Linked DNA regions of Drosophila melanogaster. The protein of the gene in region 2 purifies or fractionates together with the protein of the main gene of each other region. This does not show direct contact. Each region holds a gene or a part of one and is shown on either strand. Other genes may lie near its edges.

Region 1 (5,013 bases), on a different chromosome or scaffold from region 2:
AGATCAGGGAGCTACTCCATCAACAGCAGCAGCTCTGCGATGAGCTGGGCGAACAGCCGCTTTCACTTCTAGCTGATCCCCTGCCGCTGCCCGAGGAGATGGACCCCTTTCGGGAGCACCTAGCCCAGCTGCGCGATCAGCGAGTGCAGCGCCTCAGGGATATGGACGAGCTGCGCCAGAACATCAAACGAAACATAAAACTACTCGAACTTCAATTGCGAACGGACTCGGAAAAGCGGTTACTCAATGCGGATAACCATAAGCTTACTCCCTACGCCTACGTGCGCCTGCAAGAAATGGACAAAGAGTTCGCCGACCAGGTGCAGGATCTAATCGACCGCATCGACGAGATGCGCGGCAAGATTGAATGCCTCTGGCAGCGGCTCAGGATGACCGACGAATACGCCATGCGTCGTGTGCGCGAAGCCACGTCCTATAACCAGTGCACCTACGACATATTGCGCGAGGAGCTGGAGCGCTGCCAGGCGATGCGGCAGCAGAATCTGATTGCCTTCATCGAGCAGCTGCGCATTGAGATCAACGAGTGGTGGGATCTTTCACTGAAAAGCACCGAGGAGCGCAGGCGCTTCACCACCTACTACTGTGATACGCAGACCGAAGATGTTCTCGAGCAGTTCGAGAAGGAGCTGGACAACCTTAAGGAGTTCTACAACAGCAACAGGAAGATATTTGAGCTATACGCGAATCGAGGCGAGCTATGGACGCGCATGGAGGCCCTGGAGGCCAAGGCCAACGATCCAAATCGGTTCAACAATCGCGGTGGACAGCTGCTCAAGGAGGAGAAGGAGCGCAAGACTATCATGTCCCGTCTGCCCAAGATCGATCAACAAATCACCGAACTGGTGCAGGTCTACATGAGTGAAACGCACACGCCGTTCCTGGTGCACGGCGTGGATATACTGGAGCGCATGTCGGCGGACTGGGAGCGGCATCGACAGTCCAAAAAGCAGCCCTCCGCCCAGAAGAAGGATGGCAGCAATACGAGCGGCCAAATGAAGCCGCCAATGGTGCCTCTTACGCCCAATACGCAGAAGAGCAACCGGGGCATCCATGGATCCACATCCTCGTTGAAGAAGACGCCGACCAAGGCAAATGCCAGCACCACGGCAATGAGCACAGGGAATCTGCACAAGAGACGGCATCCACAGCATCACAACACCAATAGTCCACAGCCGGCAGCAGCGGCCAAGCGAAATCTAATCGCATCGCTGGAGTGCAACAATGCAAGTCGCAAGGTCTGTGTGAATGGGCAGAAGCTGCTCAAGTCGCCGCAGAGGAAGGTGCGCGTGCTGGAATACTCGGTGCGTCGGGGCAAGGGATCCGGCAGGCCGAGCACAGGGAGCAGGAATCCCCAGAAAATTCGTCCCATACCAAAAATCCATGTGCGTCCGCCGTCCGGCGAGGAGAACGAGAGTCCCGACGAGGAGGCGGTCGTGGCCATATAATGGAGCTAGACTCTAATCACATCCAATGGCAATCATTTCGGCAACTGATCTGTGTTCTATATCTATTACCTGTACTGAAGTATTTGGCTCGCAATTGCAGACTCATCGTATTTATATGTATACACATATGTATAGTGTTAGGGCTTTTCCTAGCGCAAAGACTATCTAAATTTACAACTTTAAAATTCTTTTAACTATTTTGCACTACCTGTGACGGCAAGAAGTAAATGAACAATTGTCCACATTTTAAATTTTTAGTCAGATAAAAACGCTTGTTTACATTATAAATTACTTGATTTCAATTTTACCAAAATATACATGTGTGGGAAGGGTTTTCTAAAGTCTGTGGGATGTTTACTAAGCGCATATAAGAGAATATAATACGTTTTTAAGGAGCAAAATAATTAAAATAGATATTTTAATTTGCTAATAAACCAAATAACGAATTTTAAATATTCAAAAAAGTGGCGTATGCTCCAGCCCTGGTTTTACCAGAAGTTACCGCCGCGTGGCAATGCTGTCCCACAACGCGGTGGCAACACTCTTGGCCGCCATTTCAATTTGAATTTACCGAAATTTCTGTCTAGCGTCATCGATTCATTCAGTTCGAAATTTCGTGCAGTGATGCACTCTAAATAAACCACTAAATAAATCCGCACATTCCCGAGCAATCCTGCCCAGCGTTGTGGGTCTGCGACACAACTGTCAAGTTAACTCAGATATGCTGGTTAAATAGTCCCCAAGTGAACACAACGAAAAAACAAAGCCAGTGAGCATTTACGCAAGAAAAGAAATTTTGAACAAAAAAAAAAAAACACAAATTTCACAACGAAAACGGAGAAAATGAACTCGCCGAGCGCCATTGCGGTGAAGGCCCAGATCCTGGAGATGACGGGCGAGCACGTGGATCAGTTGCACGCGATGTGGTCGCAGTTGTTCGAGGTCAAGACCTGCGGTGAGTTCCTCCTCCGGTTGAAGGACCATGCGAACAGCTTCTTCACGGATTTGCTCAATGAGTCGCGCGAAAAGCAGCAGGCGATCCTCAACGATATAGCCGCCTTGCGGGCAGAGGCCACCGACTTGACGCGCCTACTCCACGAGCCGCTGGACATTGGCGAGCGGCCGGAGTCCATGCCGCTGGTCGTCTGGGAGCTGAAGCTGGACAAAAGCATCGAGCACTTACGCGATCAGCTGGCCAGGCGGCGAGCGGAGATCTGTGAGCTTCTGCTGCAGCAGGAGCAGCTGTGCGAGGAACTGGGAGAGCTGCCTCTGCCACTGTTGGCGGATCCACTGCCGCTGCCCGAGGAGATGGACGCCTTTCGGAATCGCCTGGGCCAGCTACGCGATCAGCGAGTGCTGCGCCTCAAAGAGATGGACCAGCTGCGCCAGGCCATTAAGCACGACATGAAGCTGCTTGAGTGCCTGCCCCAGACGGACACCGAGGAGCGTCTGCTCAACCAGGTGGATCACTGCCTAACGCCGGAGACCTTCGAGCTCCTGCGCAACATGCAAAAGAACTTCGCCGACCAGGTGAAGGAGCTGAGGGAGCGCATCGACGATATGCGCGAAAAGATCCATGTGCTGTGGGACAGACTCCAGGAGACAGACGAGTATGCCATGCGTCGCGTGCGCGAGGCTACGACCTACACTCAACGCACCTACGATGTCCTGCGGGAGGAACTGCAGCGCTGCCAGGCCCTGCGACGCCAGAATCTGAAAACCTTCATCGAGCAGCTACGCATCGAGATCAAGGAGATGTGGGATCTCACACTTAAGAGCCAGCAGGAGCGCAAGCGCTTCTCGAACTACTACAACGACTGGTACAACGAAGATCTGCTGGAGCTCCACGAACTTGAGCTGGACGACCTCAAGACCTTCTACAACAAGAACAAGGAGATCTTCGATCTGTACGAAAGCCGTGCCGAACTCTGGTCGCGCATGGAGGCGCTGGAGGCCAAGGCGAGCGAGCCGAATCGCTTCAACAATCGTGGCGGCCAGTTGCTCAAGGAGGAGAAGGAGCGCAAGGCCATCACCTCCAAGCTGCCCAAGATTGAGCAGCAGATCACGGAACTGGTGCAGGCATACGAGGCGCAGGAGAACACACCCTTTCTGGTGCACGGCGAGAACATCCTGGAGCGGATGGCCGCCGATTGGGAGCGTCATCGCCAGGCCAAACAGCAGAGCTCGGCGCGCAAGAAGGCACCGCCATCGGCCAGCAAGATAATGCCACCGCCGGCAACGGGCTCGACAGCTCCACGCACGCCGCGCACGCTGCGCAACATGTCGACCCTTTCCAGCTCCACCATGTCGCTGCGCAAGACGCCGTCGCAGCAGCACCTCCGTCCACTAAACATCACCAAGAGTACGGGCAATCTGCACAAGCGCCTGAATCCGTCCGGCCTGCAGACGGGCCCCAAAACGCCCAACGCCAAGCGCAGCCTTATGAACACACTCAACTCGATGAAGGCGTCGCCAGCCAAGCACCTGCTCGCGCCCAGCCAGCAGCATAACCAGCTGAAGAGCACCAAGTCGCCGCTGAAACGTGTTCGCGTACTGGACAACACACTGCGACGCAGCGGCGGTATGGGCAGGCGCAGCATTGGAACGCGTTCCAGCAAGAAGGCGCGCACCAAGTCCAACGATCAGAACGCCCCACCCGACAGCAGTGACTACACAACGGACGAGAATCCCGAGCAGGGTGTCAGCTATGACGAATTTCAGCCGACCAGTCGCTCCTCGATGCTGCCGCGCCAGCGTCATCAATTGGCCGTGCCGCGAACTCGTCGTGCGGAAATGAATGCCAATCTGCCGGTGCCGCGGGAAAGCCTGATGATCGTGCAGCCGCGCAGACAGTTCTAGTTCCACTGGAGATTGACTAGCTTAACGCGTACCTACTACACTATTTCATAACAGTTGGAGTTTCTTGATGTATTTTAATTTTTTATTTTCTGTTTTACGTTTTCAGAATAAAATTTATGTGAGTTTTTTCGCTTGACCACAAGACTCGAGTGTATTTCACATTTCTTTCAGCATAATTCGTGTGTAAATTTCAGGAATTGGTTGTACATTTGTTAATAATTTTTTGCTAGTTTTCCACCAAAAAGAAATAGCTGTACATTTCGATGTTTTACTATGCTTTCACGATTTATTTGATCATCAACTAAATTTGTTAATTGTTAGAGGGATGGGGAGCTATTTGCACTTTAATTTTAATATACTAATATACAACTAAATTTGTCAATTGTTAGAGGGAGGGGGTGCTATTTGGACTTCAATTTTAATATACTAATATACAATTCAATTTGTCAATTGTTTGAGGGAGGGGGAGCTATGTGCAATTTAATTTTAATATACTAATATACAATCGCACTGATGCAAGCTTTATAAAAAGATTCCAACCGCCTACACTGTAGTAGAGCAGTTCTTATTTGACTATTAAATACATATTAACACATTAAAATGGGCGGCACGTGTGGTGCCTGCGCCAGTGATGAACCCTTCAATTGGCCAGAGCCCGGTGCGGTGCAACAGCTCCTCCCAATTCGGA
Region 2 (4,973 bases):
GTTAGGCGATGTCACAATCTTCGAATGTTCAATCCGAATCCGACGAGATGTTGGTGCACGAATCGTGAGCGATGCGTTTGTTGATGGGGTTGTAGATGCCATTGAGCGGATACGGGCCGCGGTAGCTGATAATGTTCTTTGGGGTCTCATGGATCTTCACCTCGTACAGCAGCTCCGGCTTCTTCAGCTGCAGACGGATGTTGTCCCAGATGTAAACGGCCAAGTTTTCTGTGGTGCTTGGCTGGGGGGGATAGATATAAAGGATAAGTACGGTAAGTTGTGTTGTGCTTGCTGGTTATTTACTGTATTGGCAAAGTATTCGACATCCTTATCGAGATTCTTGTGGTCCAGGCGCTTCATAATCACAGTTTCTATAGCCTCTTTCAGCTCGGTGATGTTTAGCACCATTCCGGTTCGCCGATCGATGGGACCACGGACGGTTATCTCAACTGAAAAGATCACAAAGGATTATAAAAGAACATCTTTCGTAGTCTATTCACACATTTTTTGGTATAATTTGGTATAATCGGCATCGAGTCAAGCTTGAGTTCTTAAGGTTTAGCTATTGACAATCTAAATATAATCCAAATTTCTAATCAGTTGAGCACTTGCGACACTTTATGCTCGTTCAGAACCATTATTCATTATCAATTCTCGGTCGCCAGTCAACATATTGATTGCCTTTGAGCGTTGAACTTGAATATGGTTTTGATAAGCGAGCTTGTCGGCCAAGGTTTTGCTATGGTTAGGCACCACTTTGGGCTCAAATTACCAGTTTAGTAGGGGGTTAAGCCTGATTGAGCCGGGGTTATGTGATAATAAGTGTGGCACTTTGCAGGTAATCATGCGACTAAGTGTATTTAAGGGGTATTTTTTTTTTTACCTGTATAGTTGTGTCCGTGGCCGTGGAAATTGTTGCACTTGCCGAAGACTTCCAGATTCTCGGCGTCGCTCAATTGGGGACTGAAGAGAAAATAGATGCAGCAATCAATTTAAATCGAACTGAATTGGTTTGCCAGCCGTGATTGAATCAGGCAATTGAATGATTCAATTTGATTCAATCTAATTACCTATGGAGACGATGGCAGGCGCTGAAAGTTTCGCGACGGGTTAAAAAGGCAACAGGTTGCTGCGACATTTCAAGTCCGATTTATACTATATATCTGGATCTGTATCTGGATGTGGATTTATATATGCGGCTGATCAGCTGCGCGCTTTGGCAATGTTTTACAATGAATGCAAAACCTGCTTTTGAGCCGCGCTTATTTATATGGTACTTGGATCGAGGGAACAAGGAAATATAAGCCACAAATGCGGCGACTGCGATATCAACACGCTCGGAACTAGTTTCTCTGAACTTTTCGAGTGCGGCTAATTGCAGCTGATTAGCGATTGATGTTCCCTCGTTTTCTGTTGCAAGTGCCTATGCGTGCTGCAAAGACAGGGTGTGGTATGCTATAGCCATGGTAACAAACTCAATTCAGCAAGGAACTCACCTTTAATTGCTATGGATTTTCAATAATATTTACTTTTGTCTACGTTGCTCGTCAACAGCTGCTCCCGATAACAAGGCAGCGCGTATCGGTTATCGGCCAGAGCTGAGCAGTTTGCCGCCACAACTGTTCTCAGTGATTTACAACTGCACAAATAGACTATTGTATGGGTAGAAATCCTTACACTATTACAATTTCGCTATATATTTATTTATTTCATGTTAGTTCTTTGTCAATTATCTCATAATTTAAATGAGCTGATTAACAGAGTTAGCTAACAGAGTATGTAAGTGCTGTTCATCCCTGGCTCGTGGTGGCGTTGCCGGACCTCACGCCGCTCACTGTAATCAACCCTGCTTTGCTATCGATCGCCGCCCTTCACTAGAAAAAAAATAACAAACGACGCCGCGCAATAATTCGAAACTCTTCGGCGTTATTTAAAAAACGAGCAGAGATACCTAAATAATAATCTAGACATGAGCAACAAGAGCACTCCGGTGCGGCAGCGCATCCAGCAGTTCCAGACGCGAGGAGTCCACAAATCCACGCCGGCATCCGAGATGCGCAAGAAGGTGCTGATGACGCGGGCGGAGGATCGGGAGCACCGGGATCGTCCCGAACAGCTGCTGAACACTGCATTCAGCGGGAGCACGCCACAGCCGAAGCCCAAGCCCACGGCCCTGAATGCCTGCTACACACCCTCGTCGCTGTACAGGAATGCGAACTCTACTCCTGGAAGAGCAAAGACGCCCGGCACCGGGAAATCCAGCTGCAGCAGGACAAAGGAGCGGGACTCTCTGATGGAGTCCTGCCTCAGCGTGTCCGAGGAGAGCAACATGATTGTGGCGGTGCGAGTGCGGCCACTGAATGCCCTGGAATGCACACGTGGTCAGGTCACCAATGTGGTCCAGGTGCACGGAAACAGCAACGAGCTGACTGTCCAAGCGGGCAGCAGTGCTGATGCCTCCGCCGGCGTGACGCACTTCTTCAGCTACGACCAGGTCTACTACTCGTGCGATCCCGAACGAAAGAACTTCGCCTGCCAGGCCAAAGTCTTTGAGGGCACAGCGCGTCCCTTGATCGACACTGCCTTCGAGGGCTACAATGCCTGCTTGTTTGCCTACGGCCAGACGGGCTCGGGCAAATCGTACAGCATGATGGGCATTGAAGCATTGGATGACGCCGCTCTGGATGGCGGACCGCCGCACGATGAGGCGGGCATCATTCCACGCTTCTGCCACGAGCTATTCCGCCGCATAGAGGCTGTGAAAAGTCAGCAGCAGCTGCAGGTGGAGGTGGAGGTCAGCTACTTTGAGATCTACAACGAGAAGATACACGATCTGCTGAGTGTCCAGCATGCGGCAGCTGCCACCGGGGAATCCACGCCCATCCAGCAGCAACAACAGCAGCAGCGTCCGGCTCTAAAGGTCAGGGAGCATCCCATCTTCGGGCCCTACGTAGTGGACTTGAGTGCCCACTCGGTGGACTCGTACTCGGCACTCCGCAACTGGCTTGCCGTGGGCAACTCCCAGCGGGCCACTGCCTCCACGGCCATGAACGACAAGAGCTCGCGCTCACACTCCATCTTCAACATTGTCCTAAACCTCACCGATCTGAGCAGTGACGATGGCCTGTCCTCGGATACGGACTCGAGCACGGCCTCCTCCCTGCGGCAGACGCGGCGCAGCAAGATTAGCCTGGTGGACCTGGCGGGCAGCGAACGCATTAGCGTCTCCGGATCGAACGGCGAGCGGATCCGCGAGGGCGTCAGCATCAACAAGAGCCTGCTGACGCTGGGGAAAGTAATTGCTGCTCTCGCCGATTCCCGCAAGGCGATCGCCAATGGACCCCTGGGCTCTGGGACGCCCAGCACCTTCGTTCCCTATCGCGAGAGCGTGCTCACCTGGCTGTTGCGGGTAAGTGTTACGAAATAGTTCTTAGCTGCGTTTGTACTTATCAACCGGGTCAGTAGGTTGGTCTACTTTCGGCTAATGATAACTCTTTCTTATCCCCTTGGTTTTTGAAATCAATAATTGTACCCAGAAGTGATTGCTAAGTATGTGTTTCGAATAAGTTCAGCTCAGTAAAACCTTATAACCTCATGTCTTCAATATAAATGCATATGTATATTCGCAATGCTTTCCGCACTTTTGCCACCACCGATAGGATTGCTTATCAACACTTTCGCTTCGATTAGGCAGTGGCCCACGGAATGGGGTCCCCTTGCAATCAGTAATTACCCGGAAAGCAATCAGTACGTAGAACTGCACTGCAACATGCAAATGACACGTTGACCCCTGCGGAAAGTACCCACAAAATGTTCGTACGGTCAAATGTTTACTTAACTGGCTGGCAGATATTCGTCTTTTCAACAGATCTCGTGATGAGCTATGAAGCCCACTGTCTACAGAGATATCATCTCGACTCGCGCGACACGCGAATTCTGTTTTAATGATGTCTGCACTGCGAGGAGCAGCTGCTAGACAGATTTATGTTGGCTCTATCAATTAACTGGGGTGCTAATTACTTTAATTAAAATAAAGCGTCAAATTGTCCGAAAAAAACAAGGAAAAGAAGACGACAACATCAGCCAGAGATTAGATTGAGTTTATCTGCGCTTTATAGGACTAAATATGAGAGATCTCGAGTTCTAAACTCGAACCTTGTTATCATTCGTTTGTTTATTTTGTTTGCTAAGATTGCCAGCAGACTTAGTGTATTTTTTATTATTATTATTTCCTTATCATTTTCGATAGGAAAGCCTTTTATTAAGGTCTACCAAATCAAAGACCTCCCGCACCTCAATCAATTGAGTGATTAAAATTTTGGCCTCTTATCATATCTATTTAATCTATTGTTGTTGCTTTTCCTATGTGACCATAAAATTTATGACCTGATACAAAGGCGCACGTGTAAACTTTCTAGAAATTTATTTTAAGAACGCGAATAAAAAGATAGCAGTGTCTTCACCCGGGTAATATAATTATTTTGTTATAAAACCTCAGCAAATGCTTACATAGCATTAGCAGGAAAATTGTTATAAACTTGTCATGAGACTTGAATGTTGTGCATTAGTTAACATATTAGCTACTTGTTTCACGATTGTTTGAATTGAGTAACGACTGCGTTTTCTTTAGCAATCAATGTAACATACTTATGTGTGCATTTTAAGTTAACAACTGCTCTTAAGCGAACGCCACACGTTCGTAATAACTTGATTGTTGGAATATTACCAGGCTAGTTAATCCGAAAGTGAGGGTTTTATATAATACAAGTATCTGGCTTCTAAAAAAAGGCGCACTCGACATTTGCGACGTAATTTATAATCATTCGACTGCATTCAATGAGTAATTACATGGCGCCCACAAGTGAGAGGCTCTTGATCGAAAGTCCAAACACTTGTCTTTTTTCCCGAAACCCGTTCCACTGAGTGTTATTTAGTGTCCAGTGTCCACTTTGCTTTTCGTTACGGTAGTACGG
Region 3 (5,719 bases), on a different chromosome or scaffold from region 2:
TACGACTTCCTGATCATCGCCACCGGACTGCAGCTCAATTATGGAAAGGTACGTAGGGTATCAGTACGTTTAATAGTTGCTAATATCCATATCCACATATCCATAGATACCTGGCCTGGTGGAGGCCCTGGAGACCCCCGACAGTAATGTTTGCTCCATCTACTCGCCCAAGTACGTGGATCATGTGTACGAATGTCTGCGCAGGACCAACAAAGGAAATGCTATATTCACGTTTCCCAATTGTCCCATTAAGTGTGCAGGTGCACCGCAGAAAATCGCCTATATATCTGAGCACTACTTTAGGAAGGTGTGCATCATTTAGATAGAATATCTGGCAAACAACTTCAATTTGAAACCCTTTTCAGATGGGTCGTCGCGACAACGTCAATATCATCTACAATACATCGCTTCCCGTGATTTTTGGTGTTAAGCATTACGCAGAGGCCCTGATGAAACTGATCAAGAGGAGAAATATCACGCTTAATGTTCAAAGAAATCTCGTTGAAGTGAGACATAAAGATAATATAGCCGTGTTCGAGGATCTCGCCAAACCAGGAGTTCACTATGAGGAAACGGTAAGTGCTGGTCAATTAATTGGGTATTCTAGATACTATATAGATCTAGATCTAGATCCTAGAACTATATCTTTCTACTTAAAGCGAGAAATATGAAGAGTAGGTTAACTAAGATCAATTTTAAAGTCGTATAGTATTGCAGAAATAGGAGAATTGAAGGCCATGAAATTAAACTTATATAAGTATTATATCTTTCTCAGTACTCCATGCTTCATGTGACTCCGCCGATGAGCACTCCGGATGTGGTGGCCAACTGCAAGAAACTGGTAACCCCCACTGGCTTTGTGGACGTCGACCAGTTGACGCTGCAGCACAACAAGTACAGCAACGTGTTCGCCATCGGCGATTCGGCGTCCAGTCCCAACTCGAAGACGGCCGCGGCGGCAGGTAAATGGGTTGGGAATCCTGATCAGAATATTCAATTGATTTTTCACCTCCAGCCGCCCAATCACCGGTTGTGTTCAAAAACGTAATGGCGGCGATCGAGGGCAAAGCCCCAACGGATATCTACGATGGATACTCGTCCTGCCCCATCGTCACCGGCTACAGCTCCTGCATCCTGGCTGAGTTTGATTACAACCTCACCCCCGTGGAGACCTTTCCATTGGACCAGTCCAAGGAGAGGTACTCCATGTTCTTTATGAAGAAGGAGCTGATGCCGGTGCTCTACTGGAAGCTGATGATGAACGGCTACTGGAACGGACCGGCACTAATGCGGAAAATTTTCTCAGTGCTAAAGTTTAATAAAAAGCAATAGGGACCTCAAATGATCTTTAATTAATTTTAAAAGAATATTTGGCATCATCATAACCATTCCATACCTTAATATCATACTAATTTATAAACATTGTACTTTTAATTTGGTATGTGAGATCATAAATAAAAGTATTAAATTAGTTTAAAATCTAGTATATCTAAATATTTTAACCTATTCAAATGGCACGCACTGTACATAGCCTCGGTTTCAGTATGTATCAAGTATATATTGGAGCAGGGGATGGTATTTGCAGCATTAACCGCTTTCTAAAGTTCGGTCACTCTAAAACCAAGCGTGGCGTCGCTTGGCGCTGTAAATTTGAAGGTAACGAACTAAAAGAGAGATCGATTCCAGCAACAAAACAAGAAGAAACCCAACTCCCGTATATCAAATTAGTTGCAAAAACGAGCTGACAACATGAAGGCAGTGTAAGTGATATGACAGTTCCCGAAAGAACAACTCCATCAATGAGAATACCCATTTGCAGACCCAGGACGCCGATGCGTGTCGTCCCGAAAACTCCGCGGGTGCATCAAACGGTGGAGAAACAGCGACGAGACACCTCCGACAAGGCCAGGGATCCAGTGAATGTGTTCTGTCGAGTGCGGCCACTACAATCCGACGCAGATCTCACCTCCCTAAGGGTCAAGAACTCCACGACGATCGCACTGAATCCGCAGGATCAGCTGCTGCAGCATCACAAGCCACACAACGGCGCCCAGCGCGAGGTTCAGTACATATTCAAGCACGTTTTCCAGCCGGATGCCACGCAGCAGGATGTGTACGCAGCTGTGGCCCAGCCGTTGGTGGAGAACCTACTGAAAGGCCGAAACAGTCTGCTTTTCACCTACGGCGTGACTGGAAGTGGAAAAACGTACACCATGACCGGCAACCTGCGACACCGCGGCATCATGCCGCGCTGCCTGGACGTGCTCTTTCGCACCATTTCAGATTACCAGGCCAAGAAGTTCGTCTTCAAGCCGGACAAGCTTAATGGCTTCGAGATCCTGTCCGAAGAGGATGCGCTTTTGGAGCGCCAACACGAGATGAACCAGCGTTTTGCTGGCTCAGGACGATTTGCCTTCAGGCACAAGGACTCGGATCCGGAAATTGCATCCCAGGCCTCCGTGGAGCCAATTCCGCTGCTGGGTTTGGATGAGGACAACATGTACTCGGTGTTTGTCACCTATATTGAAATTTACAATAACAGCGTCTACGACCTCCTTGAGGACTCGGGTATACAGAAGTAAGTATTTATTAAGCATTACATTTAAAGAAATCTAACTGTATTCTTGACCCGACAGGACTTTGCAGAGCAAAATCATTCGTGAAGATGCCAATCGACACATGTTCGTCCACGGCGTCACAGAGGTGGAGGTCAAGACCGTGGAGGACGCCCTCGAGGTCTTTCAAATGGGCCAGAAGCGCAAACGAATGGGACACACTGTTCTCAATGCAGAATCCAGTAGGAGTCACTCGGTGTTCAATATACGCTTGGTGCAGGCGCCCACTGATAGCCAGGGTGAGAATGTGGTTCAGGACCGGCAAAACATCACAGTGAGTCAACTGTCCCTGGTGGATCTGGCGGGCAGTGAGCGATCCTCAAGGACCAAGAACACCGGTGTGCGACTCCGTGAGGCGGGCAACATCAATAATTCGCTGATGACGCTGCGCACTTGCCTGGAATATCTGCGCGAGAACCAACTCGCGGCTAGCAATGGATTGGCACCCAAGAAGGTCCCCTATCGAGACTCCAAGATCACACACATGTTTAAAAACTACTTCGATGGCGAAGGCCAGGTGTCCATGATTGTGTGCATCAACCCAAGAATTGAGGACTATGATGAGAATATGGTAAACTATTTTTCTGACAACAATGTACTCTGGTCCCTAAAATTTATTTATCCCGTTTAGCAAGTGATGAAGTTCGCCGAGATGACCCAGGAGGTGCAAATTGCTCGGGCGACTCCTATGAAGCAAGATTTGGGTCTGACTCCCGGCCGTCGCAAGGCCAACAAGCTGTTCAAGATTGCCGTTAATAATCTAAACGAGCTGGGCATTCCTGAGGCCAAGGATTTGGAGGTGGACGTGGGTTTGGTGTACAGTTTGGGACCCGATTTTCCCGCCTACGAAATGGACAGTCCCGAGGCACAGATCAAAATCCGCGAGCTAATGCATTATCTGGAGCAGCGCATAGAAAAGCGAAAGAAGCTGCGTGCCAACTTGGACATTAAATGTAAGACGTCACTTTCTTAATCTTAACATTGAAATACTAATTCCACAACTTTCAGGTGACAGCTTCCGGCAGATGCTGATGAACCTTGACCGCGACAATCTTCAGCTGCGCACGGAGCTCGCCTCCTTAAAGGCTGTTTACAAGCAGGAGCGCGATCGCAGTGCGGCACTCGAGAAGAAGGTTCGCATCCACGAGAGCTCCATTGACGTGCTTAACAATACGCTAAGCAAGCAAGAACGGCAGATTGAAGAGCTGACTTTCAAGCTGAACGAGAAGGAGAATATGCTCACCCAAAAGGAGCACGAGAAGGAAAAGCAAAAGAAGAAGTTCAGCTCCAAGCTGGCCGTTGAGTCGGACAAAAATAAGCGAGAGTTTGAACTAAAGCTGCGTGAACAGCGAGTGAAATTGCAGGAACGCATGCGCATCAAGGACGAGAAGTTGCGATTGGTCTCCAACATTCTGCAGTCCGAAGATCTGCCCAGTTTGCCGCGGTCACAGAGCTCGGAAAACATACTTAATGAGAAAGATCGCGGTGCATATACGGCGCGCACGGAGGAGTCCTCGGTGCCAGCTACACGAACAGATATATATGCAACGCCACGTCATGTAAGTGTATGATTAATCCTAGAATATTGCAATATCTATTGATAATTTTATATCCCAACAGGGTGCAGCAGCGGCCAACAATCGGCATAGACGCTCTCGATCCGCAGGCGACAAGTGGCTGGAGCATCGGGCAGCTAATCCCGTTCCGCTTGGCACTATTATGCAGCCGTATCTGAAGAATCGCAAATCCGTAACGAAACTAACCGACTTGAAGGAGTTGACTGCTCACGGAACTACGAAGTACTGTCTCGTCTCGCAGGATGCGGATACGGATGGCGATGTGGAGACGAAGCTGTATAAGGGCAATGTAATTCCCACTTGTGGCGGTGGTGCCCAAGTTGTGTTCAACGATGTGGAGTGCCTCAAGCAGAAGTCACCGGTTCACTCGCCCACGCGAAAGCGACCCAGCAATGGCAACATTTCGGCTCTGGGCGGCGGTGCAGTGCCCAGCACGGTCACCTCAGCCCAGGACGTAGCCTCCCGCTGCAATCTCGGCATTGAGGGACACAGCAGCAAGAAGTCGAAAATCTAAAAATGACTCAGCGTGGAATTCTCAAAGTCAATTACCCATTTAGTTCATAGTTACTTAGTTTCCATAACTTAAATTTAAGTTTATTACTCACCCACTTCGGTTTTTGGAGTTGAATCGCATTGAAGTGATTTGTTTGATTAAAGAAAAGTTAATCTGTATAAATAATCCCGTAAATGAATTCGCAACCCCTCGCAAATGGAAATGTTTCCTGCTCCAAATAGTCGGTACCCGGAGGGTATCTGCCAAGAGCAGTTGTTAGAAACTATCCAAGCATCGTCCAATCATAGAACTACTCTAGTGTTATTATAAAGTATTAAATATTTTATTGTTTTTCGGAGTGAACCCAACTCCAGTCCAGTCACAAAATGAACAAATAAAGTGAATTACGCGCATATACTGAAAGTGATCAATTTGGTTTTTATCAATTTTAGATTTTCTGGCTGCAAAGCTCCCAGAGTTCCGTGAAGCAATAACATGTGGCACATAGATGGTTTTAACTATTTTTATTATTATTCCTGCGTTTATTCAGATTTATGCTTAAACCGATAAATTTTATTGAAATACATACGGTACCATTACACATACATATTTGTAGATTAATTTCAATTACTAATAAATCAGTCTATAATTAAAATATATGTTCGCTTAATGATTTCACGTGTGTGAGTGTTGTTGTGTTGCAGTGTTCATGTTGCAGTTGCTGTTTCGTGGGTGTGAGTTGCTGCTCGATGAGTTCGGCAGATGACTCTTAAACGCTATGTGCGGCAAATGTGGCAGGTTCCTGGCAAATGAGGAATTTCGAATTTGGAATTGGAAGCCAATATCGCTAATGCTACTGCACGACAAATGAATCAAATCAAATGTAAAAGGGAAACAATCAGAACGTGATAATAGAATTTAGGTACATACCCGTTCAAGTACAATTAAACAAAACAAGTTGGACGAGACGAAACAAAACCACAAATGTAAACATAATAGGCGGCAAACTCAACTCAAGTGGTGGGCCAATATTA

The links.
Region 1: the proteins of neb (region 2) and feo purify together in Drosophila melanogaster (affinity purification with western blotting, with the first as the bait; one study listed by BioGRID). This does not show direct contact.
Region 3: the proteins of neb (region 2) and pav purify together in Drosophila melanogaster (affinity purification with western blotting; one study listed by BioGRID). This does not show direct contact.

The regions. Positions count from the first base shown.
Region 1 is NC_004354.4:10,851,901-10,856,913, reverse strand, and holds feo (fascetto), read left to right. Parts: upstream 1-2,044; 5' UTR 2,045-2,309; coding exon 2,310-4,325; 3' UTR 4,326-4,468; downstream 4,469-5,013. Other genes in the region: sofe (sister of feo), read left to right, coding at 1-1,466.
Region 2 is NT_033779.5:20,073,888-20,078,860, forward strand, and holds the start of neb (nebbish), read left to right. Parts: upstream 1-1,869; 5' UTR 1,870-1,969; coding exon 1,970-3,409; intron 3,410-4,973. Other genes in the region: pr (purple), read right to left, coding at 29-241, 304-449, 884-963, 1,071-1,138.
Region 3 is NT_037436.4:4,241,129-4,246,847, forward strand, and holds pav (pavarotti), read left to right. Parts: upstream 1-1,605; 5' UTR 1,606-1,749; coding exon 1,750-1,760; intron 1,761-1,819; coding exon 1,820-2,578; intron 2,579-2,636; coding exon 2,637-3,186; intron 3,187-3,246; coding exon 3,247-3,568; intron 3,569-3,623; coding exon 3,624-4,174; intron 4,175-4,235; coding exon 4,236-4,706; 3' UTR 4,707-5,105; downstream 5,106-5,719. Other genes in the region: Sqor (sulfide quinone oxidoreductase), read left to right, coding at 1-48, 107-307, 366-575, 776-962, 1,016-1,332.